5 linked regions of the Ovis aries genome follow. The protein of the gene in region 5 interacts with the protein of the main gene of each other region in a biochemical or structural test. Links are inferred from orthologs where the notes say so. Each region holds a gene or a part of one and is shown on either strand. Other genes may lie near its edges. The genes, in order: NR0B1, NCOA4, TRIM24, HDAC3 and PPARG.

Evidence for each region.
Region 1: the proteins of PPARG (region 5) and NR0B1 form a complex in vitro, tested with the Homo sapiens proteins (2 studies listed by BioGRID, with this or other methods). The link is inferred for Ovis aries from reciprocal best matches to the Homo sapiens genes PPARG and NR0B1.
Region 2: the proteins of PPARG (region 5) and NCOA4 form a complex in vitro, tested with the Homo sapiens proteins (2 studies listed by BioGRID, with this or other methods). The link is inferred for Ovis aries from reciprocal best matches to the Homo sapiens genes PPARG and NCOA4.
Region 3: the proteins of PPARG (region 5) and TRIM24 interact in a test that uses a peptide from one of them, tested with the Homo sapiens proteins (2 studies listed by BioGRID). The link is inferred for Ovis aries from reciprocal best matches to the Homo sapiens genes PPARG and TRIM24.
Region 4: the proteins of PPARG (region 5) and HDAC3 form a complex in vitro, tested with the Homo sapiens proteins (3 studies listed by BioGRID, with this or other methods). The link is inferred for Ovis aries from reciprocal best matches to the Homo sapiens genes PPARG and HDAC3.

What each region holds. Positions count from the first base shown.
Region 1 is NC_056080.1:29,502,035-29,508,791, forward strand, and holds the start of NR0B1 (nuclear receptor subfamily 0 group B member 1), read right to left. Parts: upstream 4,134-6,757; 5' UTR 4,107-4,133; coding exon 2,936-4,106; intron 1-2,935. UniProt on the Homo sapiens protein: Nuclear receptor that lacks a DNA-binding domain and acts as a corepressor that inhibits the transcriptional activity of other nuclear receptors through heterodimeric interactions.
Region 2 is NC_056078.1:43,007,524-43,013,051, forward strand, and holds part of NCOA4 (nuclear receptor coactivator 4), read right to left. Parts: coding exon 5,507-5,528; exon of another isoform or gene 5,208-5,506; coding exon 5,099-5,207; exon of another isoform or gene 4,546-5,098; coding exon 4,456-4,545; exon of another isoform or gene 3,922-4,455; coding exon 3,778-3,921; exon of another isoform or gene 2,808-3,777; coding exon 1,788-2,807; exon of another isoform or gene 1,345-1,787; coding exon 1,186-1,344; 3' UTR 862-1,185; coding exon of another isoform or gene 856-861; 3' UTR 1-855. UniProt on the Homo sapiens protein: Cargo receptor for the autophagic turnover of the iron-binding ferritin complex, playing a central role in iron homeostasis. Acts as an adapter for delivery of ferritin to lysosomes and autophagic degradation of ferritin, a process named ferritinophagy.
Region 3 is NC_056057.1:103,689,136-103,695,373, reverse strand, and holds part of TRIM24 (transcription intermediary factor 1-alpha), read right to left. Parts: intron 4,018-6,238; coding exon 3,749-4,017; intron 1-3,748. UniProt on the Homo sapiens protein: Transcriptional coactivator that interacts with numerous nuclear receptors and coactivators and modulates the transcription of target genes.
Region 4 is NC_056058.1:50,375,675-50,381,912, forward strand, and holds part of HDAC3 (histone deacetylase 3), read right to left. Parts: intron 6,108-6,238; coding exon 5,974-6,107; intron 5,496-5,973; coding exon 5,415-5,495; intron 5,035-5,414; coding exon 4,961-5,034; intron 4,805-4,960; coding exon 4,740-4,804; intron 3,359-4,739; coding exon 3,269-3,358; intron 3,143-3,268; coding exon 3,084-3,142; intron 2,819-3,083; coding exon 2,739-2,818; intron 2,433-2,738; coding exon 2,275-2,432; intron 1-2,274. UniProt on the Homo sapiens protein: Histone deacetylase that catalyzes the deacetylation of lysine residues on the N-terminal part of the core histones (H2A, H2B, H3 and H4), and some other non-histone substrates.
Region 5 is NC_056072.1:56,682,566-56,689,327, reverse strand, and holds the start of PPARG (peroxisome proliferator-activated receptor gamma), read left to right. Parts: upstream 1-2,124; coding exon 2,125-2,344; intron 2,345-4,087; coding exon 4,088-4,257; intron 4,258-6,762. UniProt on the Homo sapiens protein: Nuclear receptor that binds peroxisome proliferators such as hypolipidemic drugs and fatty acids.

The sequences.
Region 1 (6,757 bases), on a different chromosome or scaffold from region 5:
TTTCAGTGCAGGGGTTTGCGGGTGTGCTCCCCTGGCTGGGGAGCTAAGATCTCACATGCCTCCTGGCCAAAAAACAAAAACAGAAAACAGAAACAGTATTGTAACAAGTTCAATAAAGACTTTAAAAATGGTCCACATCAAAAAAATCTTTTAAAAATGGAGTCTAATGAGCATTCCAAAAGGCTCTTTAAAAAACATTTTAAAGTAAGCAGTCTTTAAAGGGTTAAAGAGTAAGCATGAAAACATCATTGATTGCAACATGGTGCAAAAGTAACTTTTCAAATACAACCTGAGACCCAAGTAAAAGAGAATGAAATACAATACAGGGAAGATTAAATGCCTGTTAAGTTTTATAAAGAGGGTGGTAAGAGGAGGCTGCTTTTAAAAGTCCTTTGATCCTACACAATGGTGATATTACTGGACTATTACTGTAAACTCTCTAACTTGTATTTAAGTACCAATTTACCATTCAGTTTAAATGGTGTTGATTATTGTAATCATTTTCCTTCCGATTTTCTATGAATCCAATAGAAAAGTATTTTAAAAGCATCATGCTCATTGTCAGAGTAACAGAACCAGCCAGTGTTCTTTTAGAAAAAATACTGGCAATAGGCAAGTTATTTCTATTATAGGCAAGTATCAAATCTGATCGATGAGAACAAAAATAGCACAACATCTATAATCCATATTCCTATTCTGATTACCCCAGTCCATGCATTACCATCCCCTACTACCTACAGTTCATTATCCAGGCTTGAGACCCAATTTTACTGCACTGGGATTCCATTCACGTTGTTTTGTTGTTTAGTTGCTAAGTCATGTCCGACTCTCTTGCAACCCCGTGGACTGTAGCCCACTGGGTTCCTCTAGCTTCAGAAGAAGCTTGCATGAAACCACCAAAGGGTGGTGGTTGGAAGCTCCACCAGGTCTAAATTCATGGTTTATTAAAACTTCATCTTGTGAACTCTACTCTTCTCTGCTTTCATACCACACTCCTCTTTCTCCATCCTCCTCTAAAAGTGCCCTCCCCCCTCGACCCTGCCCCCACTGCCCCACCAAGACCTGCCTTGAAATTAATTTGAGGAAAGAGAAAGGCAGATTGATGGATTCCATGGGAGGGGGGAGGGACATTTTTAAACATAAAGATCAGGGGATACAAAATGATAAACACCAAAGAAAGGCCACACACTTAGCAGGCAGTACTTTTTCCCAGATAAAGTATATTTGTATTTAAAGCATACCCAACTTGGGTGGATTAGACTCCTTTGAGAGAGAATTCAGAAAAGCAGGGGAAGAGTAAGGGATGCAAAACAGGGTGGAGGAAAAGGTAAGCCAGTGGGATGTAAACTTCTAAAAGCTTAGGGCTTGTCTTACCTTTTTATTCCAGCAGAACAAAGCACATGGTAGATGTCTAATAAAATGCCTGAAGGAGCAAGAAAACAGTCTTCCCAACGATCTTAAGAACCACGTGAGAATGCATTACTATGGATGCACATTTGCAAACCTTGGACCAGAGCTACTGAATCAGAACTTCCAGAGGAAGAACCTGGAAAGATTTTGGATGACCCCCACCCCCAAGAGCACAGGCAAGTTTGGAAAACTGGTATAAGCAAAAGGTAAACTATAATGATCACTGGGATAAGCTGAGGTCTCTAAGTCCTGAAACGTGAGGTCTGAATTATCATCCCATTAAATACTGTTCTTGACCACTGCAAACATGCTAGGTAGGAAGCAAGGACATAACCCCAAGGGCATGACAGCAAGACGCCTGGTGTCAGGATAAAGGATGTAGTGGGAGCATGGTGAAAGCTATCTGAAAATTTCCTGCCCACCCACGACCCTCTTGGAAGGATGCTGGTCCAAGATGACTCCAGTAGTAGGACACACTCGAGACAAAGTGCTGGGCTGTCCAGGGAGATGTTCTTGGATGATTTGGTTGTGCTTAGCAGGGCAGTGTTCAGCACCCAACAGGCACCCTGAAAGTGTGGGGCAGTGGACATCCCCTTGGGCCCAGGAGACTCACGTGCCACAACTCAGTGGCCATTTACTTTGGAGTAAGGTCGCTTGCAACTAGACTACCTTATCTGCCAAAGGGATGGAGGAAGAGGGAGAGGCCCAGGGGGTTGACAAGGTCTCTAGGATATCTAAGAGAAAGAGATGGCAACCCCCTCCAGTATTCTGGCCTGGGAAATCCCATGGACAGAGGAGCCTGGCAGGTTGCAAGAGTCCGAATGACTTAGTGACTAACCAGCCACAAGGTATCTAAAGGCTCTAAAACAGCGCTCCTGCTTGCAGTCCTGAACATGTCTTTTTCCTATCCCTTTGCTAACCTGTCACATTTAGACGATGAGATAGTTCAACTACTTAGGACCATTAAAATGACCACTCAGAGGCAGACCCACGAAACACCGAGTCCAGTGTTCTTCCTGCCAGTACCCCCCAGGGGATGGATGGTCTCTCTACGGATCCTTAACAAATGTTTCTTTTCTTGCCAGCCTTAACAGCCTTCGGCCGACAAAAAAAGCCTCTGGTAAATTTCAGAGTTGAGTTTCACAAACAGACGTTGCAGAATTTGCAGCGAACCCAAACTTTATTTTCTTTTTTAAAAGTACGCTAGTGGATTTAGAAGATTTGACAAGGAATATAGCCAAGTTCCCCAAGCCACAAACTTTTCTGTGGTAACAAAAAGATGTGAGAGATCAAGTACAAACCTTAGCAAACAGCCCCCCTCCTCCTCCTCTCGGCGGGGTTTCTGAAGCCACCACTCCCTGCCCCTCACGAGGAATGGGTTTCCGGAACTCCCCTATCTCTGCTGAGTTAGCCAGGATTCCTCACTTGTGCACCCTCAAACTCCTCTAACTGAAAACTCTTCGAGTGTCTGCGCCCCGGGGTCGGTACTGCGGAGAAAAGCCAGAGCCGAGGCCGGCGCCCTTACCCGGGTTGAAGAGTACGGTCCCCTTGAGGTAGGCGTACTCCTTGGTAGTTATATCCAGGCTCCGGCACTTGGCAAGGAAGCCCTTGATAGTTTGGACCTCGGCGGCCGAGGGCAAATACTCGGCCTCCAGCGGCAAGACCGAGTGCGGCAGCAGTGGGGGTTGGGGCGGCGGCTCGTTGCCCGCGGTCTCCCGCCGCCTGGTGGCGAGGATGCTCTGCAGCAGGCTGGGCTCAGAGGTCTCCACCGTCTCAAAGTTCAGGCGGTCCTGGGCCAGCTCCAGCATGAGCAGCGGCGCCCAGCAGCTGCGCAACAGCACTAGCTGCTGGTCCAGGGGGAGCACCTGGAAGCAGGGCAAGTACTTGACGAAACGCAGCGTCTTCAACAGCCCCGCCGACGCGGCCTCGCAGACCACCTGTGGGCTCTTGAGGGTCACCCGCCGCCGCACGCCGCGCGCGGGGTCCCACCAGGGGGTCCCCGGCGGTACCTCTCTAGCCAAGTCCGTCGGCTTGGCGCCCGAGGGCACGTGGCAGGGGAGGCTGCCCAGCCGCGGGTGGTCTTCACCGCAAAAGCAGCAGAGGCACGGGAGCGCACCCGCCTGCCCGCCCCGCAGTTCCTCTCGGCCCCCTAGCCTCCGCGCGCTGTAAGAGCGGTCCCACCATGCGCCCCCCGGCTGCGCCTCGGAAGCTTCAGGCGCCACGTGCGTCTGCTTGGCGCTGGTGAGCAAGCTGTACAGAATGCTGCCCTGCCGCGGGTGGTCTTCCCCGCAGAAGCAGCAGCGGTACAGGAGCACCGTGGTCCGCACACCCGTCAGCCCCTCTCTGCCCGCCGGGGGCTCAGAGCCACAGGAGCAGCCCCAGCACGCGGCCCCCAGTCCTTCCTCGGGCGCCTCCGGAGTCTCCTGCGCTTGCTTGGCGTTCATGAGCAGGTTGTAGAGGATGCTGCCCTGCCGCGGGTGGTCTTCCCCGCAAAAGCAGCAGCGGTACAGGAGCACCGTGGCCGGCGCACCGGTCAGTCCCTCTCTGCCCACCGGGGGCTCAGAGCCACAGGAGCAGCCCCAGCACGCGGCCCCCACCCGTGCCTTGGGCGGCTCCGGGGTCGCTTGCACTTGCTTGGCGCTCATGAGCATGTTGTACAGGATGCTGCCCTGCCACTGGTGGTCCTCGCCCGCCATGGCCCGCGGTGCCCGCAGCCTGGCTCTGTCCAGTGGCCGCCGCCTGCGATCTATTTATACTGAGCGCGCACGCACGCGCATCGGCCGTCTCCGCCCGGGCAAAGGCGCGGAGCGGGGCGCGGTGCTGGGTGTGTTCGCTTGTGACCTCGGCGGTTCAGAGGGGACAGATGCACCTCACAGGCTAAAAATGGAAGAGGAGAGGAGGCGTGGGCGCTCCTGGACACTTCCCCCCTTCGTCTCACTACACGCTTCCCCGCCTCTGGAAGACAGCTGAGCGCAGGGAGCAGGTATTGGGGGCACGCTTCCAACTCTCCATTGAACTCTGGCGTCTCATTGACTCCCTTTACTGGGAGGGCAGGGTTATCAAAAAGGGCAAAAATCTATTTCCATGCCTTCTTTGCAAACTTACATTAAATGACCAAACTTTGCATGACTTACATTTTGTTTATGGATAGGGAGGTCTTATTTTCAGGGACTTGGAAAAATACAGACCATGGACCAGTAGTATCAGCGTCATAGGAGAACTTGGTAGAAATGCCCAATCTCAGGCCCCAACCAGACTGTCTGACTCTGAATGTGCATTTTAACAAGATTCTCAAAGGATTTGTGGGCCTGTTAAATTCTGAAAAAGCACTGGTCTAAGAATGCTATCATAAGCTTCTTGTTCAATTCAAGTAATATTCATGAGCTCCCACTCAGTCGTAGCTGTTGTGTTAGCTGGGGACCACGTGACCAGGGTATAAAAGTGGCTAATATTCTGGAATATAATAATCAAAAGGGGCTAAAAAGTTGCTACAGAGAGAACTTTGAGTTCTTCTAGTGATATTGGGTAGATGTGCGATGCACATTTCTCCTCCCACCTTTTCTGAGCAAATAATGAGAAACACAGGAAGCCTGGATCCTTTGGTCCTCACTTGCCATTGGCCTCTGCTCGAGCTCCTTAGAGGCAATGGGATGTGCAGCCCCACATCACCACCTGCCCCCTGATTGCTTCACCAGCCATCTGGTTAACTTGAAATCACAATCTCTTAGTCCTCAAATTCCTTATCACTGAAATGGGAAGTTTGTTTAGTGATCTCTTGGGTCCATGACTGAAAACATGAAGCAAGGGGACAGGTGAATATTGGATCCCATGTTTCTCTCTCTGTGTCTGTCTCTCTCTCTGTGTGTGTGTTTGGTTGGTTGGTTGGTTTTAGTTTCTCTGAGATGTGGAATTCTGAGCATAAGAGGAAAAGCTCGGGGACACTGATTTTGCATTCAACCTGAAATTTTATTCTGCCTGTGAGCAGCCATATAACACAGTGCTTAAATCTTCACACTGGCACCAGATAGCCTTGATTTTAACTCTGGCCCTGCCACTCTGAAGCTCTGGTGGCCTTGGGTGATGTATTAGTTTCCTACTGCTGCTGAAACAAATTACCACCAATTTAGTTGACTTAAGGCAATTTCCCTGGTGGCTCAGATGGTAAAGAATCTGCCTGCAATGTAGGAGACCTGGGTTTGATCCCTGGGTTGGGAAGATCCCCTGGAGAAGGGAAAGGCTACCCACTCCAGTATTCTGGCCTGGAGAATTCCATGGACTATAGTCCATGGAGTAGCAAAGAGTCAGACACAACTGAATGACTTTCACTTCACTTCTTTAGGGTTAAGAGGTAATACCATCCCAGTGCCATCCTTATTCTCTCTGTCCCAGGGAAGCCCACCCTTACCCTGAACCCTGAGATTATCTCCTTTTCTGCCTGTCCACATTTCTTGGCCCAGATTCAAAACACTGGGTGGATCACCTGGTCCACCACAATAACATATATTGGAAATATTAGCTCATCACGTGTTTCCAATATTCAGGTTACTGTTTGGGGTATTGTTACTGCTGTTTCAGGGATCTTCCTGCCTGGCGAATGTGCCAACCAGCCTCTCTGAATAACCCAGCCTGCTTCCGTCCCCTCCTTACATTACCAATGCTAGTTACTTTTTATGGTGTTCTATTTTATTTTCTTCCTAATGGTGATCAAAATTGGATGTGATTGATTGATTTAGTTATTTGATGCTTGTTGATTGCCTCCCTCAACTAGTATGAAGCTCCCTTGAGGGAAAGGAGTCAGCCACACTGTATCCCAGCAACTAGAATGTCTGGCAGACAGTAGGTGCTTGAAATTATATGTGTTGGCCAACTGTATCTTGAGAGAACAAGGAGAAGGCTGCAGCTCCTATTCTCAACACAGAGGGCAAGCATTCCCACACAACTGTGGCTGCACTCAGCCTGGAGGGAGGAAAGGTTAGGAGTAGCCCCACTGGACTTAGAGCTTTCTGGAGGCCTTCTTAAAATTGTAAAAAAAAAAACAAAACAAAACAAAAAAAACACTTTATTCAAGTATAGTTGATTTCCAGTGTTATGTTAATTACTGCTGTACAGCAAAGTGACTCATATATTTGTATGTGTGTGTATATATCATTTCTTTTTCACATTCTCTTCCATTGTAGTTTGTCAGAAGATGCTGAATACAGTTCCCTGTGCTCTACAGTAGGGCCTTGTTGTTGATCCATTCCATGTATAATGGTTTGCATCTGTTAATCACAAACTCCCAATCCTTCCCTCCCCGTTTCCTCCCACTTGGCAGCCACCAGTCTAGTCTCTATGTTCGTGATTCTGT
Region 2 (5,528 bases), on a different chromosome or scaffold from region 5:
GATGCACCAATAACACTTAGGATAGTGAACAGTTCAAGTACATTTCCAACATAGTTTGCTTTTTGATTAGTCAGCACTGGGGCTCTGCTGCCTGTAGTTCTTCAGAATATTTTGGAAGAGACGAGAACTACTCTGAACATAGTCTTCAAGCAGTATGGAGCCCTTCCGAAAGAGAAGTTCTTTCACAATAACATTTAGAGAAGGAAATACAGACAGATCTTGCAAAATCTGAATGTCTTTCCAAAGAAGAAATGTAGAATCTGGCACCTAAGCTAAAATGTTTTGTAATAAATGTCAAAAATTGCCAAGACTTTCAATATGTGTTTTGGTAAGAAAAAACCACTATATTGGCAAGGTTAATGATGTAAAATGCAATAGAATATTAATTAAATAGAAAATTCACCATTAATGGAAGAAAACCCAGGATAAGGGAAGCATCCAAAGACTGCCAATTGAAAGGTAATTTTACTAGCTTTAGAATACATCAACACACTTTGATTATAGAACTATTTCATTTTCAAAACTACAGTGTTTTAATGTACTTCTAATAACCACCCAATCTAAGGAGCCATGGAGGCTTATGAGAAAGACCTACCCACCAAGATGCATTTCTAGCATAGGGGTGAATTAATACTTCTGTAAGAAAGAACCTGAATCACCTCAGCATCAACAAATCACCTTTTTCTTTTCCACAGTAATTCATAATTTGATGACTAATTTCTCTTCACTAGTTCGAGACTGGGGAGGAAAGGAACTACATCAGACCCAGAGACAATGATTTCGCAAGCCACAGTCACTCAGCTCATGGATTTGTGATAATCTGCAGAAAATTTGATTGACTAGTACTCGATTCCTTCACATCTGTAAAAAAAAGTCCACATAAAAAGTCACTTCACTGTAAGATTAAAAGCAAATGTCTTCCCACTTTAAAGCTCTCATTTCTCAATAAGCTATTAGAAACCACACAGGCTCCAAAAATTCTGACAGCTACATCATCTGGAAAGGTTACTTTCAAGTATGTCCCAGTTATTTCATGGAGCAAGTTCAAGTGAAACACGAAGTTTCTATGATCTCTCTTTTCCCACCTCACCTAATACACAAACCACTAACAGAAATACACTTTGGTGAGCAAACTGAATTCATACATAAGACAAGCCATAAGCAGCTAGAGCTGCAGCATTTGCACTAGCGGCATATACCGACCTGTAGAGGAGTTCGATACAACCACTGTTCTTTATCAACTTTGAGCTGCATACAGGCAAAGAGATCGCAAACTGCTGGGAGGCCGTACCGGTCCGGGGGAAAGCTGTGCTCCTCCTGTAGGGGTGAGCTGAGTAACACTTCCTGCAACAAGACAGAGGGTGGGTTGCTCCATGACAGCTGGGAGGCGTGATGCCAACAAGTCATCTTCCAGTCTAGTGTCTATAAAGAGTGATGCGAACGCTGGGCGTGCTAGTAACAGAGCAAAGTGACAACTATTTTCTCTGCTCCTAATTTTTCCGTAAACTGCAATAAAATAGGCCAGATGCGGATTTGGGGCATAGAAAATACAAGCTTCAGTATGAATAATCATTAAGTGTTCCATTCCGTTGCTAACATGGCCCCAAAATTAATACTTAAGCTGCATTTAACAGTTAAGATAGTTAAGGATCTGGTCCATTTATTTGCAAGGTTTGGGATTAAGAAAATGCAAAGTTTGGGATTAAGAAAATGCAAGGTTTGGGATTAAGAAAATAAAAATCTACTGAATATACTTCAAGTGGTGCTTTTTTAATGTCTTGGCTCACCTTGGCCTTCTTTCGAAGTAGCCACTTGTCCTCTCCTGAGGATAACTGGCTAAGATTTCCTGTCTTCTTTCCTGGCAAGACCCAGTCAGCTGTGTTAAAGGGACACCAGGCAGTGGCCAAGGGGCTTGTAGGCTTTTGTTTGCCAGCCCTGTCCTCAGTAAGAGGCACTTCCTTGTTGGGACATCCTTCTTTGTGTGAGGGGGTCATGAGCCACTCTGACAAGGGAGTGTCCCTTATGACTTGGAAGGAATCAGCAATTCTAGAAGCCCTTGCCTTGGGTGCCTTAGCTTGCTCTGCTGCCTCTCTTCTGGATGGAGAGAGCCACATGTCCAGGGAATCTTTACGTTTCTCAGGTCCAGGCTTTGGTTCCACAGGCATACCATTTTTATCCTTTCCTTCTTTCTTCAGAAGCCATTTACACAGAGCTTCCTTCTCACAATTTTCATCACATACACACTCTGCAAAACTTGTACAGGGCTCATTGGCTTTGCAGACCTCCTCTACTTTATATGGGTCTTGATGGTTCTGGACAAGCCAATCCTCAATAGTCAGGCTGGGAGTGGACAAGGGTTTCTTGGCCTCCAAGTGGTCGTTGAGGCATTTCAGACTGCCCAGGTTCTCAATCTCCACACCTTTGGGCTGGTTACCCTGACAACAGGTACAGGAATCGGACCTGACAAGCCAATCATTCACATTGTAGGACTCCTGGAACACCTGGAACAAGAGCTTAAACTTCTCACTGGTGGTTTCACAGCCGCCATTCTCGGGCTTCTCAAGCTTATGGGATTCCTGGGGAGTTACCAGCCAGTCAGAAAGATCCATCTCATCTTGATCAAGAGGCTCTGTATCTTCAACCACTTCGATTTCCACGGAGTAAGAACTGGCAGTAGAACAGCTGTTAGACCTTTGGTAGCTTGGTTTTTCAGAAACTTCTTGTTGCTGACTCTTGTGGAGCCAGTTTTCCAAACCCTTTAGGTTGCCCCAGACTTTATTCAAGAAACTGCAGGCTCTAGCAGACGTCTACACAAAAAATACACAATATTACTTTGCTAGAATATTATGACTGCCTTGAAATTCAATGATAAGAGTTCTACTTATATTTACCACACTACAAAATGTTTCTAAGTTTAAGTATACATAGCCAAAAGACATGGGATTTCTCTGAGATATTAAAATACATAATTATATTAAAACTTAAATTTTCTGCAGTTTAAAAAAAAAGGCAAACTAGGAGAAAGCATTTATAGCACATCTTGTAGAAAAGAGACAAGTAGTTTCTACATGTGCATTTATGAATAAAGACCAAAATGAGTCATAATATGATTAGAGAAGTCATCAAAGTTAGCTAATAAAAATGAAAAATACTCAATCTCCTTAGTAACCTAAGAAACTCAAAAAGTAAAATTATTCTTTTGTGTTAAATTCAGAGAAAAACTTGTAAATGACTGCCACTGTTAGAGATGTTTAGGGAAGAGGGTATATAAACTGGTATGGACTTTCTGGAAACCCAAACTGACAGTGTGTACTGAAAGCCTTAAAGGGTCTGCAGAACTATAGAATGCAATTTCTAAGAATTCATTCCTAAAGAACTAATCAAGAATGCATAGAAATGATTATCTCCTGGACACGCAAAAGAAATTTATTTATATTCAGAAAACCTGAAGTTTTAGCCCATCAATGAAATACTATATACTATGAGGGATTTTATGGAAGAAATTAAGTGACAGATATTCATGCACGTATATGTAGCATAAACGAAATGTTACAGTGGTAGTTTCTGCACGCGGGGTTATGAGCTTGTATTTCTTTATATAGTTTTTTCCTAAGCTTTTTCTCTACAGTGAAGAGGTTGTCACTATTGTAATAAAATGTTATCTTTAAAATATATGTTTCCCAGACTAGAACTAAAAACCAAAGACATGCTGTCAGTTAGTAACTAACCCCATCTATTACATCATCTATCTCAGAACCAACAGGGGCAGCAACACACCTGACTGTTCTCCACGGTCTGCTTCTGGCTGAGCCAGTCCTGGAGATTGGTGCTGGGCAGGTAAGGAGCCTGGTGACCGACGGCAGGTTTGCTTCCAAGGAGCCATTCACTGAGAGGGACAGCTGTGGCGCTGGATGCCGACTTCTGCTAATCACACAATACTTTGCTGCTTAACAAGGCAATGTCAAATGCAGCAGAAAGTTTGCCAGAAAAACAGGAGACCCAAGCTCTTTAATCTTGGCCCAGTGCTGACCCTGCACAAGTCAAATGATTCCCCTAAGCCTCCATTTTCACAATTACAAATCAAAGAGTACAGCTGGAAATCAGCTTCTCAACTCAAAACTTTTAGGATGCTATATTCACACTTCTCACACTGCCTTCAGAAGTAAATGATCAAGAGAAGGATCCCTAAGAGAACCAACCCAATCATAGAGCTAATGATAATTTCTTATGAACTAACTGATAACAATTACTTTCTTACAGAACATGTCTAAAACCTCTAAATTTCTGACATTCAGTCTCAAGGGAAGCGTTTAACTGTATAAACTCATTTATTACCATTTGTGCCTTTTTACAAATAAATGATAGCCAAAAAAAAAAAAAAAGTGATATAATCAAAACCCCAAAGAAATACAAGCCAAATAATACTCAGTTACCAGAAACAAAATGACATTTTACCTGCTCTGGCAATGGGATGTAGCCTCTCTTCTCCAAGAAGGACCCAATGCTTGATGAGCTAGCATGAGCCACCAGGTGCTCAGGAATTTGCTATAAGATAAAAAGCAAATCAGTTGTGTTTACTAATGTTATGCTTTCAGACCAAAAAAGTGAACTTGTAATCCCTAAATTCCAAAAGTACTAAGCAAAGTGTTACAGTTCACGAGAATAAATCTTCCTCACACTAGATTCAGTGACCTACGAAGTAGTTATAGAATCTGAGAATCCTCTATCTACCACATAACTACCTTCACAGAAGAAACCTTCACCAGAGCTGGTGGTACTACAACTACTAACAAGACCCAAATGAGACGACATCTGACTCTATACAGACCATTCAAGCCATAAATTTCCTAAGAAATAAGTCAAAGGTATTTAGAGGTACAAAGAGGAATTCCAGAGACAATCAACCAGTCAATAATACATTCCAAGCACTACCAGCCTAAGGCTCTATAAATGCAATCAGAATATTGAGTTTCTAAAGCTTACCAAATTCTCAAGAAAGTCCCTTTTCATAGTGACAATGTGCTATTTTTAAGACCATGTGACGGGCCACAGACCTGAGAAGCTCACTATGAACCTTCTGAGATGAACATTTACTTACAATGGTCTTGAGAGACCCAAATGTGGTGATTGCCTGGCGCAGGGCAGTTATGTCGGCTTCAAAGAATAAAGCAGTTGAATCTTCAGGTTTGAGGGTCAGACTGCCCAATCTGGAGAAAAAAGTAAACAAAATCTGGCTATTTTAAAGAAATATCTATTTCAAATTCATCCAAAATAAAAACCAAATTGTGAATTATTTGAAGTTTGGTTGAGTAACTCAACCAAAGATAGATGACTTAACCATGTACCACCAAGTATGATATTAAATATTTAAAGCAAGATGATATTATCAAACAAACGTTAAGTTTAACACTAAGTTAAATCCAAGTCATGCAAAGAGTTACAAAGTGACTTTTTAATACACCAAAGTCAAAGGGCCAAAATCAAAACACACAAGAAGGGTCTTTACCTCTCCAGGCAAGCTGAGACTT
Region 3 (6,238 bases), on a different chromosome or scaffold from region 5:
ATATGAGAAAAAGAGAAAATGCCAAAATTTCACAGAAGCCTGAAGCCATAGCAATTCTTTTTGGTTCTTCTATTAAAGTTTTTCACTGGAAGGGTTTTATATCACAGAAACACAAACAAAAAGTAATTGGGGAAGTATAGTGGAAAACTTCTAAATTCATCCAAAAGACTATTTTTTAAAAAGTGGAAAAACACTCAAAATGATCCTTAAGGGAGAACAAAGGCAGTCAAAACTTTCGCCTACTCCTGCCCTGACTGGAATTTATATATTGATTCAGTCAAGAAACGACATTCAGGGAAAAAAGAAAAAAACGAAGTGACATTTGATGCCAGTGTACTATACTCCTGTAAGAAATCAGTGTGGAACTGGATGTTCACTCGCCCATCAAGGAATCCTAGTGTAGAAAGATCTAAGGTGATTGATTTTTATCTCCTCTCCTAAACTGTTATTGTTGACTGAGTTAATTTCTAAGAACCCCATGACAGGAAAAGTAACTTGAAAGAACAGGACTAGAAACTATTTATGAACATAAGAGAAATAGCAAAACCAATGCTATTTTAATTAAATGGAATTAACTTGCAAGAAGGAAAAAAGGGAGAGAATAGAGAAATAATTGAGAGCTTAAGTAAAGAGACATATATTCATCATTATCCTTACCCTCACTGTAAATACTTTATTATAGGTGGTAATTTTATTCTAGGTCAGTATAACCATGAAGGATAGCAGATGTCCTTCTAACATCCACTCACTGTTTAGGAAAATTAATATATACATATAAATGAGAGTATCTCTGCAGAACAGTAAATCTGGCCCAGGAGTGAGAACCATAAAGTATACAATAACAGACTTAGATTTAACAAACTTCGAGCTGTCCACTGCAGTACGACAGAGTATATTGTATACCACTCAATAAAGAGATGCAGAGTGTTTATTAGTTTGTACCACACAGTCATGTAACTATGTAGTCTATCTGTGTATCACCCAGCTCTTTAATCATTCAGATTACATGGCTACTTTCAGAGAAAGAAGAAACAGGGAACTACTGTGTAAGCGATTTTTAGAGCAGGCGTTTAAATTGACCTGTATCTTCAGGCTACAGGTAGAGTACGACAAAGAGGCACACATATACACCTATCTACAGACAGATATTTTACCAGATGTACATGCAAATAAACTGCTAGAGAACTAAGAAAGCAGGTAAGCAGGGCAGTGCAAAAGTTTAAAGAAGAGGGAAAACACTGTTGAGTGAAAAATGTAGGAGCAGATATTTGGTAGAGAGAAGATAAAAATGAGAGATGAGAGTACTAGAAGAGGGTTCAGGGGTCACTGAGAGGAGACAGAAAAAGAGCAGTGTGCGAAGTAATGACATAAAGATGAGAAAATTACAGTTGATATTCTAACATGGGTTTAGACTGCAGGTCCACTTAGACAAGGATTTTTCTCAATGGTGAATACTTCAGTACTGCACAATCTGTGTTTAGTTGAATCCTCAGATGCAGAGCAGTGGATGTGGAGGAGCCATGGTGGGTGGCGGGGGGTGGCTGACTATAAGTCATATGTGGATTTTCAACTATATGGAGGGTCAGTGCTTCTAACCCCTGAATTAATTGTTCAAGGGTCAAATGTGTCGGTAAGTGGGAAAATTAGGCTGTATAACAAAGATTGTACATTATTTATATATATACATATATATATATCATACAGCAGTACACCACAGAAAGAAATAATAAGATCAAATATAAATTTCTGAGATAAGCAGGCTAAAGGCTCTATCAAGGTTACTTCTGTTTGGTTACTGCTTCTATAAACAGCTGTTTCTGAGAATGTGACTGAGTCACACAGAATCTATTAACTGCCTCAGTTCCTCACTTTTCAATGAAAAGGGAATTAATGCAAATGATGGATTTATCCTGCTTCAGGTTAGTAAAGTAATAAAAATCACTTTACCATCTTTCAAATACTTAAGATAAATATTAATCATGTAAATGCTTAGCACTAGTCACTCAGTAAGTATTTTCTCTCTTTTCCTCATCAAATATATGTCCAAAACAATTTGGGTGCTCTGCAGTCTATCTGCAATATGTTACTCTGCAGTCTGGGTGGGGAGTGACAAAAGAATTCCTCCATATTCTTAACAAAATTTCAACTCTGCCAGTGGCACTCCTGGGATCGAAAGTGTATACATCTTTTCTCACAGAACACTCATCAAACAAAGACCTCTTAAATTGCTTGCTATTTACTTCCTTTAAAAACCTGGGTTAAAACAAAGTTCGAGAGCAATAATCAACTGGTCATACTAATTAATATTCTCTTGGATTTGACATATCTTCTTAATCAAATTACCAGACAGCCATAAATCACAAATAAAATCACCTCAGGCCTACACAGAAGCAATTTAACAAAATCAGGATTCACACAGGCCCATAAGTCTTATTCAGGGTTGAAGCAAGTCTCCTATGAAGAGTCTTGTATAACCACTACCAAAACATGCTATTATGCCATTTAATTGCTTTTTCATAAAAGAACTGCATTATGTATGCATTCCTCTTAGTGCTAAAAAAACACTGGTAAAAAATTTCTCTAATGATATGTTTCCTTTTAATCAAGTAATAGATATTATTCCTGATTCTTTGTTTGGTTGATCAAAAACTGAGCTAAGTCCTGTTCTCAAGCATGAGAATTCTTAGTCTAGTTCTGCATGCTTTGAACATTACTAATACTTATTAATCCCTGTGCCATTTCATTTGAGTCACTTACTGTAAATCAGTTCAAATTCTGAGAAATAGGGAGTATAAATTAATAAATAAAAGGAACTGAAAAAAGAGACAATTTTTGTGCATTAAAATAAGAATGGTGCATGGGGGGATAAAAAGAGACTTGCTCTAAATGGAGTGGATAGAAGCTTCTTCTATAACAACAGCAGAAATGTATACTAATATTGCAACTGTTTGTTCTTAACTAATGCACGGTAATTAATCCACAGGATCATGATTTTGATTCATGCTCTGAAGTTGTTACTGTATTGTTAGTACTGTTGAGTTTATGACTATATGAACACATGTCTAGACTCCTCCACCCACTCTACATCACAAGTAGAATTTACATGCGTATGTTCTTCAAACCCTTTAGAGAGATAAGTAGAAAATAAACACATGCTTTTCCCATTTCTCCACCAGTGACTGAAATCTTTGTTATGAATTAAGAAATAATACAAATAAAAAGATGACAACACTGAAAAAAAAAAAAAAAAAAGAATGGTGCCTGGAACATTTGCTCAGAAATAAAGTTTGAAAAAGGCAGACTTCTAACAAACCACACCCTTTCCCTTTTCTATTTCATTCTGTCCTAGTTTCTAGATGCAGTGGGTTTTCTAAATGCTGCATCTTCATAGAGGACAGATACCTGAAGCATCAGTCATCCTGAAGCACTAATGTAACAATTCTGAGTTACAGGTACACAACTTTCCCACCAATCATATGCATGGGTTATTCAGGAATGCAATCATTTATCCTCTGTTACAAAGATGACAAAAAGCAGATGAGAATAGATGTCCCAGCTGAATAAACCATTAATTTCTTTTCCAGAAGGGCTAAGAACTAGAGTTAAATTAGGGACCCTTGATGAGACAAATTTTTATAAATTCATATATTTAAATCATGGAGGAAGGACACCTTGGTTATTTTAGGAGCTGCTGAATACAACTGTACTATAATTATCTAAGTTAGGACAGGCCTGCTTCCAAATTTACCTGGTGAGAGATGGAAGGTTGCTGGATGGGCCCCTGCATTCTAGGGTTTGGTAAACCCACAGGTGCTGGCCTCCGTTGCACCTGTTGCCTCTGAGCCATTACCTGTTGCTGCATATGCTGGAGTCGTAACTGAGCTAGGCTGATCTGGGTTGGAAACTTGGATAACTGGTTTGAAGATAAACCACCTGGTGGCTGTGAATTCTGTTCCACGACAGGATTCTGCTTAGGCATTTGTGGTTGACTCTCTTTATCTTCAATTACTAAAGAACCTAATCAAAGAGAAAAAGTTAAGTTCTGAAGATTTTCTGATAGTAACATACCATATTTTGTAAAAGGCTATCTTTGCTCATTTTCAGGATTTCCAAGGAACTTCTTTTTGTCTTAGGAACCCTTTACACGCTTAAAGATAGAAACTCCGAAGAGTTTCTGTTTATGTAGGGTCTATCAAACAAAATCTACCTTATTCAAAATTAGAAATGAGAATTAAAAAACATTTTTCCATACTAATTCATTTAAAAGTGACAACCAAGAGTAACATATTTTTATGGAAAAAACACACACACACACACACAAAACCTTATTTTTATTTTCAAAAAAGTTTAGTGAAGAATGGCACTATTTTACATTTTCAAACAGTTCTTTAAAATGTCTGGCTTAATAGCGGTAACTGTTTCTGCATTATCTAATATATTGTTTAAATAGAAATACATGCAGAAAACCCAGCCACATATGGGTATGTACTTGGAAAAGGGAGACCTTTTATCACCTGAAGAAGCTTCAGACTACACTGTGAGAACTGCTATTGTATAATCAAAACAAAACACGCAAACCTGACTGTTCTCACTGGATGTGAGAACAATACCACAGAGTATTACTGACTCAGTTATCTCTCTATGATGTAGCAATTGAATGACAACAACAGCTAGTTCTTTACACCTTCATGGCGCAAATTGTGTTAGTTCTCTGATGGCGAACACCATGCTTTATAACTACACTGTTAAAAAAGAGATTAAAGGTACCTCTCACAGGTCTGGTCCAAGAGTAGGGCAAAGCTTGATTTCTTCAATAGCAGAGACTCAGTTAAAAGTTCCTGATTTACTAAGCATATGCATCCTTAAAGATATGGTTATCATTCATTAAATACTTACTCCACATTAGGTACCATGATAGGAGATCTATGTATATTGTTAAAATCCTTCGTACAGATAAGGGATCTAAGGTTCAGAGAGGCCAAACAACTTATCCAAAGTCACAAAGACACTAAACTGAATATGCGTCCAAGACACTACTTTTCCCTTGCACTCTTCTGTAACATGTTTCTCAGAAGCCATAAATAAACAAGTTTGGGAAAGTTGTATCCTTCTTAGAAGATTTAAAACGTCAATCTCACTTTAAACGACAATTTATAGAGCTATATATGACACCTCTGAAAAGTCCTACAGTAAAGGATACTGTCTTACAAATTCCTCACAAACAGGAGGTGTTTTTGTTTTTGCTGATTCAGATTTACCTAAACTATATTCACTTATGTGCGTACAGTTACATATTTTCTTAATTTTACCTATGTCTACATCATGTGGACTATGTTTTAAGTGATATGCTTATAAGTACATATAAGTCAACATGACTGTTACTGTGGATATAAAGCTGTGATAGATTCTCTGTATAGCTATATATGTGGTGGAGGGTAGAGTAGGGTAAGAGATAGTTATATACATGCTTTGTATTAAGATGCTTCTTTTTAGTTATATAGATGAGAATATGTATGATACCAGCTGCTGGCTATGTTTATCAATCAATAAATACGTACTTCTAAACTGTGCTGAGGAGTCACCTTATCATTTCTTCAAAGGGTCACATTACCATTCTTACTGTTCTCACATATGGATGAGATTTATGTAAGCCTATTTCTTCCCTTCTTGGAGTGTTCTGAGAGCACTGGCTCTCCTTCCAGCCAGTTCTTTCTTACCCAGAATCTAGCTTAGAGAATGAGAGAGCAACCCTATTTGATGATTTTGAAACAAAGTCAATAAGCCCCAAAACTGCCAAAAGGTGGTTAATGAAGAATGTATATGAAATTCTTATTTTTGTTTCTATAATTTCCCTGTGAGAAATTAAGAAAGGAGGCAAAAATTGAAGATTTTTTTTACTAGTACATAATGTAACAAGGACTGCCTGCAGGGATATGTGATGTTACCAAATGATACTGAAATTCCCCCTTTTTGATAACTCTAGTACTTCAAATTTGGGCAGTTATCTATATGCATGATACACTTCAATTAGGAGGTTAAAAATTATTTAATTATTACATAAAAGGAAAAACAAAAACAAAACACACAGAGAGAATTCCTCCCTACCAAGAAAAAGCAAATAAATGAGCCATTAGTACCTGACAACTGGGTCTCAAGAGTGAGTAAGCCAAGAATTGTATGAGAAATACTGTTTTAACAGAAAACATTCTAAAAAGTACTATATTAATGGCAGACACAT
Region 4 (6,238 bases), on a different chromosome or scaffold from region 5:
AAAAAGGATCCCTGAGGCCAGATGTTCAGATACATCCTCAACCAAGAGAGGAAATGAAGGGGTACACATGGAGGAGGAGGGGTGGAGTGGTCCCAAGAGTCTAAGCTGTAAAGCCCAGGTCCAGCAGAGAGATCTGGAAGTGTGAACTATTAAGACAGAGAGAAAATTCTGGAAAGGACTGAGAAGCTCATCAGACTCTGCAGCAGAGTCAATTCAGACTTCTTAACAGTGTGTGGGAGCAGGACCAGGTGTCCTGCAAACATCCAGCTGTGGTTATCCCCAGTCACATAAGGAAATCTGTTCTCTATTAAATACATCTGTTTCTGCACTTCTGGGTTCTCTTGTCTTTTTCCTTTTTTCCAGAAAAGCTTGTTTCAGCTTTTGTGGTTTTTTTAAAGTCTATTCTGGTTGTTTTTTCCTCTAATTCAGTGCATCTGTAAATATTTTAATAGGTATCTCAGGAAGGTAAAGATATTTAAAAAGACACACATACACACAATACAACTATCACACCTGAAAAAATTAAGAGAGGAAAGAAATCTACGGGCCTTACAACAGCAGTATATGTGCAGTGACCTGTCCAGCTTGGAATCTGGAAGGAGTCAGTAAAATGCTGGCAAGAATATAAACTGTTATAGACTGTCTGAAAGGCAATTTGGCAACAAATAAAAAAAACTTTACTGCACACAGCCTTTGACCTAGCAACAACAAGTCCAGTAACCCATTCAAGCACTCAAAGATGTATATTTACAGGGATTCACTGCTACACTCTTTGTAACAGTGAAAAAAAACAGGAAATAATGAAAATGCCTGTCAACAGCACTTGGTTAAATTATGCTATGTCCATACAATGGAATATCATACAACTAATTAAATAATGAAGCAAAATAATAATAATGAAGCAGATTTTTATATATATTGGCACAGAAAGATACACTGGTTAAAAAAAAAACTTGGAAATTGTAGAACATGTACAGAATGATCCAACTTTTAGTAAAAAAAAAACAAAACTGCACAACACTGAAAATGAGTGTATGTGTGCCCTTGTGTTTATACATAAATATTGAACAGCACAATTGTAATCTACAGAAACTGGAACATGGACTTAGAACTGGACACGGAACATGAAACTTAGAACTGGACATGGAACAACAGACTGGTTCCAACTCAGGAAAGGAGTACATCAAGGCTGTATATTGTTACCCTGCTTATTTTACTTATCTGCAGAGTACATCGTGAGAAACACTGGGCTGGATGAAGCACAAGCTGGAATCAAGATTGCCAGGAGAAGAATCAATAACTTCAGACATGCAGATGACTCCACCCTGATGGCAGAAAGTGAAGAAGAACTAAAGAGCCTCTTGATGAAAGTGAAAGAGGAGAGTGAAAAAGTTGGCTTAAAGCTCAACATTCAGAAAACGAAGATCATGGCATCCAGGCCCATCACTTCATGGCAAATACATGGGGAAACAGTGGAAACAATGACAGACTTTTTTTGAGGGGGCTCCAAAATCACTTCAGATGGTGACTGTAGCCATGAAATTAAAAGACGCTTACTCCTTGGAAGAAAAGTTATGACCAACATAGACAGCATATTAAAAAGCAGAAACATTATTTTGTCAACAAAGGTCCGTCTAGTCAAGGCTACGGTTTTTCCAGTAGTCATGTATGGATGTGAGAGTTGGACTATAAAGAAAGCTGAGTGCAGAAGAATTGATACTTTTGAACTGTGGTGTTGGAGAAGAGTCTTGAGAGTCCCTTGGACTGCAAGGAGATCCAACCAGTCCATCCTAAAGGAAATCAGTCCTGAATATTCATTGGAAGGACTGATGTTGAAGCTGAAACTCCAATACTTTGGCCAACTGATGTGAAGAGCTGACTCATTCGAAAAGACCCTGATGCTGGGAAGGACTGAAGGCTAGAGGAGAAGGGGATGACAGAGGATGAGATGGTTGGATGGCATCACCGACTCAATGGACATGAGTTTGAGTAAACTCCGGGAGTTGGTGATGGACAGGGAGGCCTGGTGTGCTGCAGTCCATAGGGTCACAAAGAGTCAGACACAACTGAGCGACTGAACTGAACTGAAAAGTTTTACAATAAATGTATGTCACTTACATCATTAAATCGGGGGGAAAAAAAAGTATGGGATGGTTGTATACTGAAGAAGGTACACTGAGGACAATTAGACTAATGCTGTCTAACTTACTTTTTCCCTCTTAACTTCCCCCAAAACTTGCTGGAATTCCCTGCTCTTATGACCCTGCTCCAGACCTGCTGTAGTTTTCCTCAGGACCCCTCTCCTCCGCATCAGCCTCATCAGTCCTATCGTAGGTTAGGAGGTCTGCCGGCACATCGTGAATCTGGACGCTAGGTGCATGATTCAGCATCTTCAGGTTTTCAAAGATTGTCTGGCGGATCTGGTCCAGATACTGGTTGGGGATGAGGAATAGACAATGAGCAGCTCCCAGTGACTCCCAGGATGTCAATGCTTGTAGCTGCCTTTTGTCCCTGCAGTCCTAGTTTCAGTCCCATTTTGCATCTTAGTTTGAATCCCCCAGCTGGTAACTGTCCCTCCTCCCAACCCTGACTGCCTGTGCTTTCACCGGGGCTGCCTCCTAGCTGATAACAGAGATAGTGATGGCTGAGACTCTCTTCCCTGGTTTCTCTGATTTCCCACATCCTGGACCTTTCCTGGGCTCCTCCACCCTTGTGCTCAGCTTCTCCAAGCTGCTGACCTGGCGTGAATTCTGATTCTCGATGCGGGTGCTGACATCCGGATGGAGCGTGAAGTCCGGGGCAAAGTACTCGAAGTATTCTTGGGGAAAAAGGAGGAGACATGATGGCTCAAATAGACACAGGCAGGTCCCAAGAGTTGCCTATCTTTTTCCTTTCCATCCAAAACCCCTACATAACATCTGCTCAACCTTTTCCCCTCTCTAGGCCCAGGGGTTTAGTTTGCAGAACTCTGATAAAGTCAAACTTCCCATCCACTTTCAAACCAGGCCATTCTATGGTCTTGTGAGAATGGCCTTCTTGCTGTGGGGGCATGGTCCCCCTTGCATGTGTGGGATGGTCCTTACCGCTATAGGGAAGCTCTTCACTAATGGCCTCTTCTACCAGCAGTGATGTCTCATATGTCCTGAAACAAACCAGCAGAGCAAGGCAGGCTGAGTGAGTGGGGTGAAAGGTCCACTGGCCATCTCTCAGGGAGAGCCCCTAGCTCACACTGTACAAGGGAGAGGAGGAAAAATGGGGGCATGCTCACCAGCAGCGGGCAACATTCCGGACAGTGTAGCCACCACCACCTAGCACCAGTAGAGGGATATTGAAGCTCTTGACATATTCAACACATTCCCTGTTAAAAGAAACCAGAGGAATGGGTGGAGGAAGTTACCAAAAGCCAGAGAACACACTTCTAGAGGCCAACTGGAAAGAGGCACAAGGAAACTAGAAATGTTCTGTATCTTGACCTTGGTAGTGAAAATCATTGAGTTATATCTCTGAGATATGTGCACTTTATTGCCGGCACGTTGCGTCTCAGTGAAATTTAAAACAAAGTGCACTCTCACCTCTGTCCTGCTTAGCACCCACCCTAGCAACCCACCTGTTAATCAACTAGTCTCACCAATGTACCAGCAAGTGCTGTCAGTTTAGCCACCAAAATATAACTCACATCACCTACCTCTCTCTACCGCCACCTCCTCCAACTTAGCCTCCTATCTGAGACAACACCAAGAGCTCCCTAACTAGTCTTCCCACTTCCACTCCTGTGTGCCCAGCCCCACCCCAAACCTTTCTCCATTCAGCCCTCAGAGCAGTTGGTTTTTTTTCGGCGGTGCCACAAGGCATGTGAGATCTTACTTCCCCAACCAGGGACCAAGCCCATGCCTCCTGCAGAGGAAGTGCAGAGTCCTAACCACTGAACTGACAGGGAAGTCTTGAGCAGTCACTTTAAAATTCAAGCCCAGAAAAAATAAAATAAAATAAAATAAAATAAAATAAAATTCAAGCTGGATCATGTCACTTCCCTGCTTAAAACCTGTCAACAGTTTCCCAACACATCTGAAATATAATTCAGACTCCTTAGCAAGGTCTAAAGGCTCTGCATGACCCGAATGCTGCCGACTTCTCAGACATCACCTCAAACCACCTCCAGCCTGCTCTCTGTGTTCCACCTGACTGGTTTTACTTCATCTCCTCCACGATACCCCTCTGCCCTGTCTCAGCGTGTCTGCATGCACTCTTCTCACCGCTTGGGATGGACCTCTCTCTGTTCTTCTTATGGCTCACTCCTTTTAGGCTTCAGGTCTCAGCTCAGAATTTTGGAAAATTCTTTCCAAATCATGGTATCTAAAGTAGTTTCTCCACTGTTATCCCATATCTTAGCTTTCTATCTTTTTCTTCCATAGAATTTATAACAATCTACCTATCTTGTTTGCTTACTTATAGTTTTGCCTGTTTCCTAGGCTGAACTGTAAACTCCATGGGAGTTCCCTGACTGCTTCCCCATCTCCTAGTACAATGCCTGGAACACAACAGGTGCTTAACAAAAACCTAATGTGAATGTTGCCAACTGGGGAACACTGCTCAAGATGACATTTCTGGTTCAAAGTACAACATGCAGCTACTTTTCAGTCCCAAAAGGAGGTGAGGGCTGTTTCCCAGCTACCCGTTCCATGTATTGAAGCCCAAGGCCACTTGAAAACCTGGAAGAGTGGAAGGAGAGCAGTTCTCACCCGTGTCCTCGAATGCTGAGGTTGAAGCAGCCCAATCGATCACAGCCCAGAGAGTCAGCTCCACACTGCAAAAATCAAAACCCCAGGTGGCTACAGTGAGAGAACTACTCAGAATGTCACCGATGTCCTTCACTTCCCTTCCCCCACCAGCCTAGGGATTCTCCTCTTTCCTGCTCTCTTCCCGTAAGCCTGAGTGCCTAAGGAAGCACGGACAGTATTACCTGGAGCACAATGCACGTGGGTTGGTAGAAGTCCACCACCTGGTTGATAACTGGCTGGAAAAGGTGCTTGTAACCTGGGAGAGGGCCAAAGATGGGCACCTGGCACCCCAAGGGGATGGGGAGACAGGGAACAAAAGGAAAAAGGGGGTTCAGAGAGCGTGTAGCCCAGGAAAGGGGCAACCCAAAGGGACCACTATTGGTTCCAAACTTCTAGGTGGGGAAGTTCATGAGACTTCTGGAGGGACTGATGGAAGCTAATGACCTTTTTCCCAGAAAAATGCACATACACACAATATGTTGCATACAATTTCCAGGGAGTTCATGGTCCCTCTGAAGGCCATTCATCCTGAAGGACACCTGGCCCAACGGTAGACAATACCAGGCAGAAGAGGTTAACTCAAGGAGGGAGAGAGAGAAGGAGCCTAGTGAGCAGGGAGAAGACTTTAGTACGTACTCTGGTCATCAATGCCGTCCCGCAGGGGTACGTTGAGGCAGTAGTAGCGGCCACTCTCTGCTCCAACTTCATACATGTCACCTGTGGGGGAGAGGGGTTGGGGGCGCCAGCTGCTTCAACCCCACCATGTACTCTGAGGGCCTCTCACTCCATCTGTGTATGTCCGCCACACACTCCCTCAAACCACTAAGTCTCTTGCAGCTTGCATTCATTCAACAGATACTCCTGGAGGGCCTACTATGAGCCAAGCTGTGAACTAGGTATGGGGATACAGCAGGAAAAAGAACTAACGAAATAAATGAAATCCCACCAAGCTCATATTCTTGGGAGGTAGGCATGATTAGGTGGGAGACAGTAAACAAAACAAAACCCCACAATAAATTCAAACAGCAACCAGTGCTTGAAAAGAAAAAAGCAGAGTGATGTGACAGGGTAACAGGGTGATCAGGGAAGGTTTCTCCAAGGAGGGGCCACCTGAATTGAGACCTGAGCTTGCGGAGGAGGCAGTCATGGTAAGAGCTGAGGAGTATGAAGGGGACAGGCATTCCTATTTCCATACCTGTGCCAGGGAAGAAGTAGTTTCCGTATTTGTGGAAAGATACTGTCATGACTCGGTCAGTGAGGTAGAAGGCTTCCTGAACCCCGTCGCCATGGTGGATGTCAATATCAATGTAGAGCACCCGAGGGTGGTACCTGGGGTGAAGGCAAAGCCAGCGTCTGAGGCAGAGGTGAACCCCAGGAGGAAAAGCCCCCAACCCACTCCTCCCAAACACAAGGCCAGAAATTATGAAGAGTCTACTTTGGCCCAAGTCACCTGAAACCTA
Region 5 (6,762 bases):
CAGCGTGAACGGAGATGAGCGGGGCAGAGTGTCTGCCCTGGGCGCACGGTGTGAGGCGCCCAAGCATGTGGCTGCTGAGGACGGGGGTGAGGTCCGGGAGCCCAAGTGGAAAACGGCACTGAAGAAGTCGGACTATCGGGGCGCTTGCATGACAGATGAAGACTTCTAAATTTATTGCACGTCGATCAGTGCTCCCCCTGCTTTTGCGGCAGATTGCCCTTAGGAGAAGAGGACAACAAAGTTAGCCATCTTGGGGAAGGAAGGGATGTATCGGTGGAGCACAAGGGGCGTTTAGGGCAAGGAAATGTAGGCTTCTCTGATGGTGAATCCGGGACGCCATACGTTCGTCAGAGCCATAGAATGGTCCACACAGAAGAGCGAACCCGAGGGTAAACTGGATTTTAGTTAGTGATGTATCACTGTTGGTTCATCAGTTTTGTAACAAGCAATACCACACTAACGCAAGGGTTAATAACAGGGGAAATGTCAATTATTAATAGGGGAAACTATGTGTTTCAGGGTTTGGTGGGGAGGGAGAAAGAGGAAGGAGTATAGGAGAACTTTCTGCTCAGTATTTAAGTAAACCTAGAGCTGCTTTTTAAAATAAAGTCTATTCTCTTGGGGACTTCCCTGGCAGTCCAGGGGTGAAGACTTCACCTTCCAATGCAGGGGGGCGTGAGTTCAATCCCCTGGTCTGAGAGGTAAGATCCCACATGCCTTGTGGCCAGAAAACCAAGACATGAAACAGAAGCAGTATTGTAACACATTCAATAGAGACTTAGAAAATGGTTCATATTAAAAAAAAAAAAAGCTTAAAAAAATACAGTCTGTTTTAAAAAAAATTAGTGTTCTTCTAGCTGTAGCTGAAATGTACTACAAGTATAAAGTTGTTTAGGAGTTTCAGAGTCATCTCTTTAAAATCAGATGAATTTTTCATTCTAGTTCTTTACACATAAATAGCTATTTTATCATTAAAATTTTCCACAAAGCTTTTCAATAAAACCAGTGACCCTTAGGGATATGATTCCTGTGTGGAGAAGCCTGATGTTGGTTGGCAGGCAGTCACTGAAGTCATATGTTAAAAGTGAAACAAAATGAAGCCAGTAAAATGATGAGCAAACAACTTTTCTTGCAACCCAGACATGTTTTCCATCCCTATTTTTATTTCCCAGTATTGATACAGCAGCATATTGCGCTGCCTTTAGCTTGGTCAACCTTTACTTTGGTGTTCAGAAGAACTTTGCAGTCAGCGTGCTGAGAAACCAGTCGATAAACCCACAATTGTGGATATTGCAAGAGAGACGAGAGAGGTGTCTTTTCATAGGAAAGCGATTTATTCTAAGAAAAATGGCTGGAGAAAAATAAAGGAAGCAGACTGAGGAGATAGGCAAAGTAAATGGTGTGTCCTGGGTTGAGTAGATTTAGGTGACGTTCAGAACAAAAGATACAGTTCGATGGATGCCCCGTCACTAAGAGCGCACACTGTTTCCTGGATGTCATTGAGACCCAGTGTGAGCTCCGAACTGTCAGCAGCGTAGGGCTTGTACCATAACACAGATAACCTCAGATGGTTTTCGTCCTTATTCATGCAGATATTCAGACGTGCAAACCCACACAGTGCCTGATGAGCCCTCTTGGAGCCACTGAAGCACATTCACAGCGCTCGTCTCCTTATTTGTGTTTTCGAGGCAATTTGTTTTTCTTATGAAGACCACAGCTAGAATCTTTAACCTCTTGCAAGAGTCAGCCTGTGAGAGCTGCATTCTTTAGCTCTCTGCTTGCTGGGAAAAAGCAAGAAGCCCATTCCCAGATACCCTTAGGAAAGTCATCCCACTGTAAGGAGAACAGGGCTGTCTGTAGGACGTTGGTATGGGTCCGCTGTACAAGCTGACACCACTGGAGGGTCCTCGACCATGACGTTCAGGTAATGGGTGACTTCCCTCAGTTAGTTCAGCAACCTGGACGGCACTAGGAGGGTGGTTGTGTTCACTTCTCTCCTCGTGATCACCTAGGTGACATCTTGACCGGAGACTCTTTCTGTATCCTTTCTGTGTGTCGTCACGAGACTGCCCAGTCCTCAGGACTGACGTCACAGCTGGCCTTTTCTCTGTTTCAGAAATTACCATGGTTGACACAGAGATGCCGTTTTGGCCCACCAACTTTGGGATCAGCTCCGTGGACCTTTCTATGATGGATGACCACTCCCATGCCTTTGATATCAAGCCCTTCACCACCGTTGACTTCTCCAGCATTTCCGCTCCGCACTACGAGGACATTCCGTTCCCAAGAGCTGACCCGATGGTTGCAGATTATAAGTATGACCTGAAGCTCCAAGAGTACCAAAGTATGTGGTTTATTTCACTTTTCAGACTGTTGAGACTAGAATTGGACTAATCTCTCGTCCACAGTAGGGTAAATGCTCCCAGGACTAATGGCTGTGGTGAAGACATTTACCATTCATTCATCCATCCACTTGTCCATGAAATACTAAGCGTTTATAACTGACCAAGGGCTTCCCAGGTGGCTCAGATGGTAAAGAATCCACCTGCAATGTAGAAAACCCGGATTCGATCCTTGATTTCCCTGGAGAAGGGAATGGCTACCTACTTACTCCCTTGTTCTTATCTGGAAAATTCCATGGACAGAGGAGCCTGGCAGGCTAAAGTTCTTGGGGAAAAGTGTCGGACTGACACTTTCACTTCCCAGGTGGCTCAGTGGTAAAGAATCTGCCTGCAGTGCAGGAGACGTGGGTCGGGAAGATCCCCTGGAGGAGGAAATGGCAACCCACTCCAGAATTCTTGCCGTGGAGAATCCCATGGACAGAGGAGCCTGGGGGGCTCAGTCCATGTGGTTGAAAAGAGGCATGGCTGTGACTGAGCTGACACACACATGTAAGTGACCAACAAGGCAGGTAGTGTGTGAACACCCTGGATCCTCCTTCCTTTTTCCTCCCTTCCCGCCTCTCTTTCTTTTCTTCTTTCCTTTTCAGGGACAGTCTCCAGCATGATCACCGTGCTAGCTGTATCTCAGGCTAAATATCCGTCCCCAACCCCCCAGATTTTGATTCATTGTTTCTACTTTTAAGCAGATAGGTAACAGTTTATTACCTCCTTTAACTTATTGCTAAATCACTGTTACTATAATGCACCTTTCCTAATTCTGCAGTTTGAACAGCTTACACTGAAACCTATTTTTCAGCACAAATTTGAATATTGACACTGTAGACTATTGATAAATCTCCGTGCCATTAATGCAGCTCACATCAAGAAAAACTAAAACTGCACTTTTCAAGATAAGATAAATTTCTGTGATGCTGTTTCCTTGATTTTTATCTCTTTGCTGATATGCTGGTTTTCCAGAGCAACCACTGTGTAATTGGCAGCCATTACTTGACAAGAAGTAAGAACTTCCTGTATTTCTAGTTTTTTTTTTTTAAGATAAATTATATACTTGGTTATAGTTACATGTGTGATTTCAGTTGAAGCTTAATATGGAAATTTAATAGGCTTGATCCTGACCAGCAGAAAGATAGTGCTTGCTTTCTAAAGTGTCTCTCTCTATCAAAGATCATTTCACAAACCATCTTTTCAGACTCAACATTGATGAGAACCTGGTCTCTTACTTTTCACGTACCCTCAAGCTGGGCATACCATGTCCTTCTCAGTTCTTTTTGTGTTTCCTTTGCAAGAGTGGTTTAAGAACACTTCTAAAAATGCAATATTCAAGCTGAAATATATAATTTAATATTGTCATGAATGCCAGATACAGCCCATAGAAAAATAACCTTCATGATTTCAAATATTATATATTTCCTGTGGGAACTTTAGTATCATGAGGTCTTGGAGGGTCATAGAACCACAGACTTAATTCCCTTCCCAGTTTGTTTTCACAGGTGAGGCTCGGAGGTGTTGTGGCTTGCATGTGATGACGAAGCCCACTTCTCCCTGTGTCTTTTTCATGTTCCATAGTGCATCTAACCTAAACAGTGAAATATGGGTAGGAAGGTGTGCTACAGCGACATGCCCTGTTGCCTGTTTAGCATTGTTATTCCCGTGATGATTGTCTGCTCATGCTTCTCTGTACACAGGTGCAATCAAAGTGGAGCCTGTATCCCCACCTTATTATTCTGAAAAGACTCAGCTGTACAGTAAGCCTCATGAAGAGCCTTCCAACTCCCTCATGGCCATTGAGTGCCGGGTCTGTGGGGATAAAGCATCAGGGTTCCACTATGGAGTTCATGCTTGTGAAGGATGCAAGGTAAAAAAAAAAAAAAAAAAAATCGTTTTTGAAAAAATTTGCTGAAAATGTACCTAGGTTTCCATTTCCTGTTGCAAACAGATGGCAAAGAATTGAGACAGAGCTGTCAAACTTTTAAATATCTTTGGTAAAACCCATTCTTTAGATGATATAATACTTGAAAACCTAAGAAAATCATAAAAAAGCAAGGCTACTGTGCCTCACTTCCTTTTTTCCAAATTAGTCCTGTGCAGTGCTGATCTAATTCCATCTTCGCATTTTGTAGATTACAAAAAAAAAGAAATTGCTGGTTCATAGTAACATGGCAGGAGAGTGATGGGCTGACCCTGAACAGAACCCAGATTTCCTGAATCTCCTAATGTTTTTTCTTTCCACTATACTATGTAATATTCTGTATATGTAGATAGATGGATAACCTTCATTTGAGCCTTACCACAGTCCTAAAGGTTGAACTTATTTATGGCCGCTTTGCAGGTGTAGAAATCTTGTGTCACTGAGATTTTCCTGTGGTCATCCATTGTAAGTGGCACATCCATACACCTTCTGACTCGTAAACTGATGCTGTGTGTTTCCTTATTCAGCATCAGTGTGAGCCATATGTTATGGTCAGGCAAAGAGATACAGCTATTTTTGAAAAGAGATACCCTTTCTCTTCCCCTCCTTTCTTTGTGAAAAAGGCTATTTTGGAAAGTTCACTTAGTATTCATTTAATATTCTGCCCTATTGAGAAAATGTTAATCTACTCATGTTTTAAAATGAAGTCTTTTAAAAGAATTAATTCTAATAGGCTCCTTGAATAAAATAGTAATTGACTAGTATTATATACTCTAGTGCTCAGAATAAATTTTTGATAAGTATTTACCTTATAAAATAATGCTGCTTATATAAGATCAGATTCAACCATCAGTAGGGCTTTTTGTTCAGAATGAAGATACATGACAGCAGTTAGGTAGGTTGGGAGATCTGCATTCCTAACTGGACCATGAGCCAAAAAAGGAAGTTAATATTTACTGAATTTCTGCTATACACCAGATACTGTGTAAGATGCCTTTGTATATATTATATTTTTAACCATATCCTGCCTAAGTTATCACATCTATAACATGATGGTATTGATTCAGATGATCACTAAAGCCTCTTCAATTCAAAAGTTTATTTTTCTAAAGGCAACCTAATAAAGTGAAAGAGACAAGTTAGTAATTACCTGGCCACTTGTCCATGGCCTCTAACCAATCACATGAGGATTTCAGCCTCAGTCACTCATGTATAAAACAATTTGGCTAGAGTAGCTCGCCAAAGGGTTTCTGATTCATCTCTGGGTCTGAAATTCCAAAATGACTCCTGGCAAGAGATGCTTTCATTTAAAACATGAAAACCCATTCATTCAGTGATTGAAACCAAGCTAAAATATCTGTAACCTTATAGGAAATCATTATGTTCTCAAGGAATAGTAAGAACCTGTTATTTTACTCAGTTAGATTTATGTAATTTTGAGGAAATTGTGGCTAAATTCTTAGAAGTACTTGAAGAAATCATCTAGTTTTGATCATCTTGGTAATTTATGTTGATAAATAAAGTATGGTTGGTTAAGTTTCCACTGTATAGTATTGTTTTTTATGGGCTGGTAAAGCAGTTAGAAAACAAAAAGCTTTAAGCAAATAGTTTCACTGTGATTCTATTCATCAGATATTTGTGGAGAGTTAACGTTTCTGAGAACAGCTAAAAATTGAATGGCGATTTAAGGACTAACCAATCAGCCAAAAATTGAAAAGACAGATATTGTGAGCAGTTGCTTGTAGTGTTAAAGCGAAGTTCTAAGGGCATAAAAACTTAGAAGATCAAAGCAAGCAAAGAAGAAAAGTAGCAAAAAGAAGAGAAAATAGGGAGGAGAAAACTCAAGTGCCCTCTAGTTACAAACGGAAATGTGCTAAGGCAGAGACGGAGAATTAACACTTAAAACCTGATGAACCCAGAGGAGCCCTTCACCTACCAGAGACAGACAGGCCAAAGCAGTAGAAGAAAATTAACAGTATAGTAACCTCCAGTGATTTGTAAACCATCCAAAATAAAGATTACAGACTTCCTGAGAAAGGAAATCAACCATGAATATTCATTAGAAGGACTGATGCTGAAGCTGAAGCTCCACTACTTTGGCCGCCTGATGGGAAGAGACAGCTCATGGGGAAGGACCCTGATGCTGGGAAAGATTGAAGAGAAAAGAAGGGGCAACAGAGGATGAGATGGTTGGATGGCATCGCCGACTTAGTGGGCATGAATCTGAGCAAACTCTGAGAGATACTGAAGGACAGGGAAGCCTGGTACACTGCAGTCAATGGGGCTGCAAAGAGTTGGACACGACTTAGTGGCTGGACAGCAGCAACAAGAAGACTAAAATACAGAGAAGGTTATGCAAAGCTTAGAAGGGAAAGTAGGCATCTGCCCATTTTAAAGATAAGAATAAGAAAAATGTTCGAGGAATAATATAATTTGGCTTGTCCAAGGATG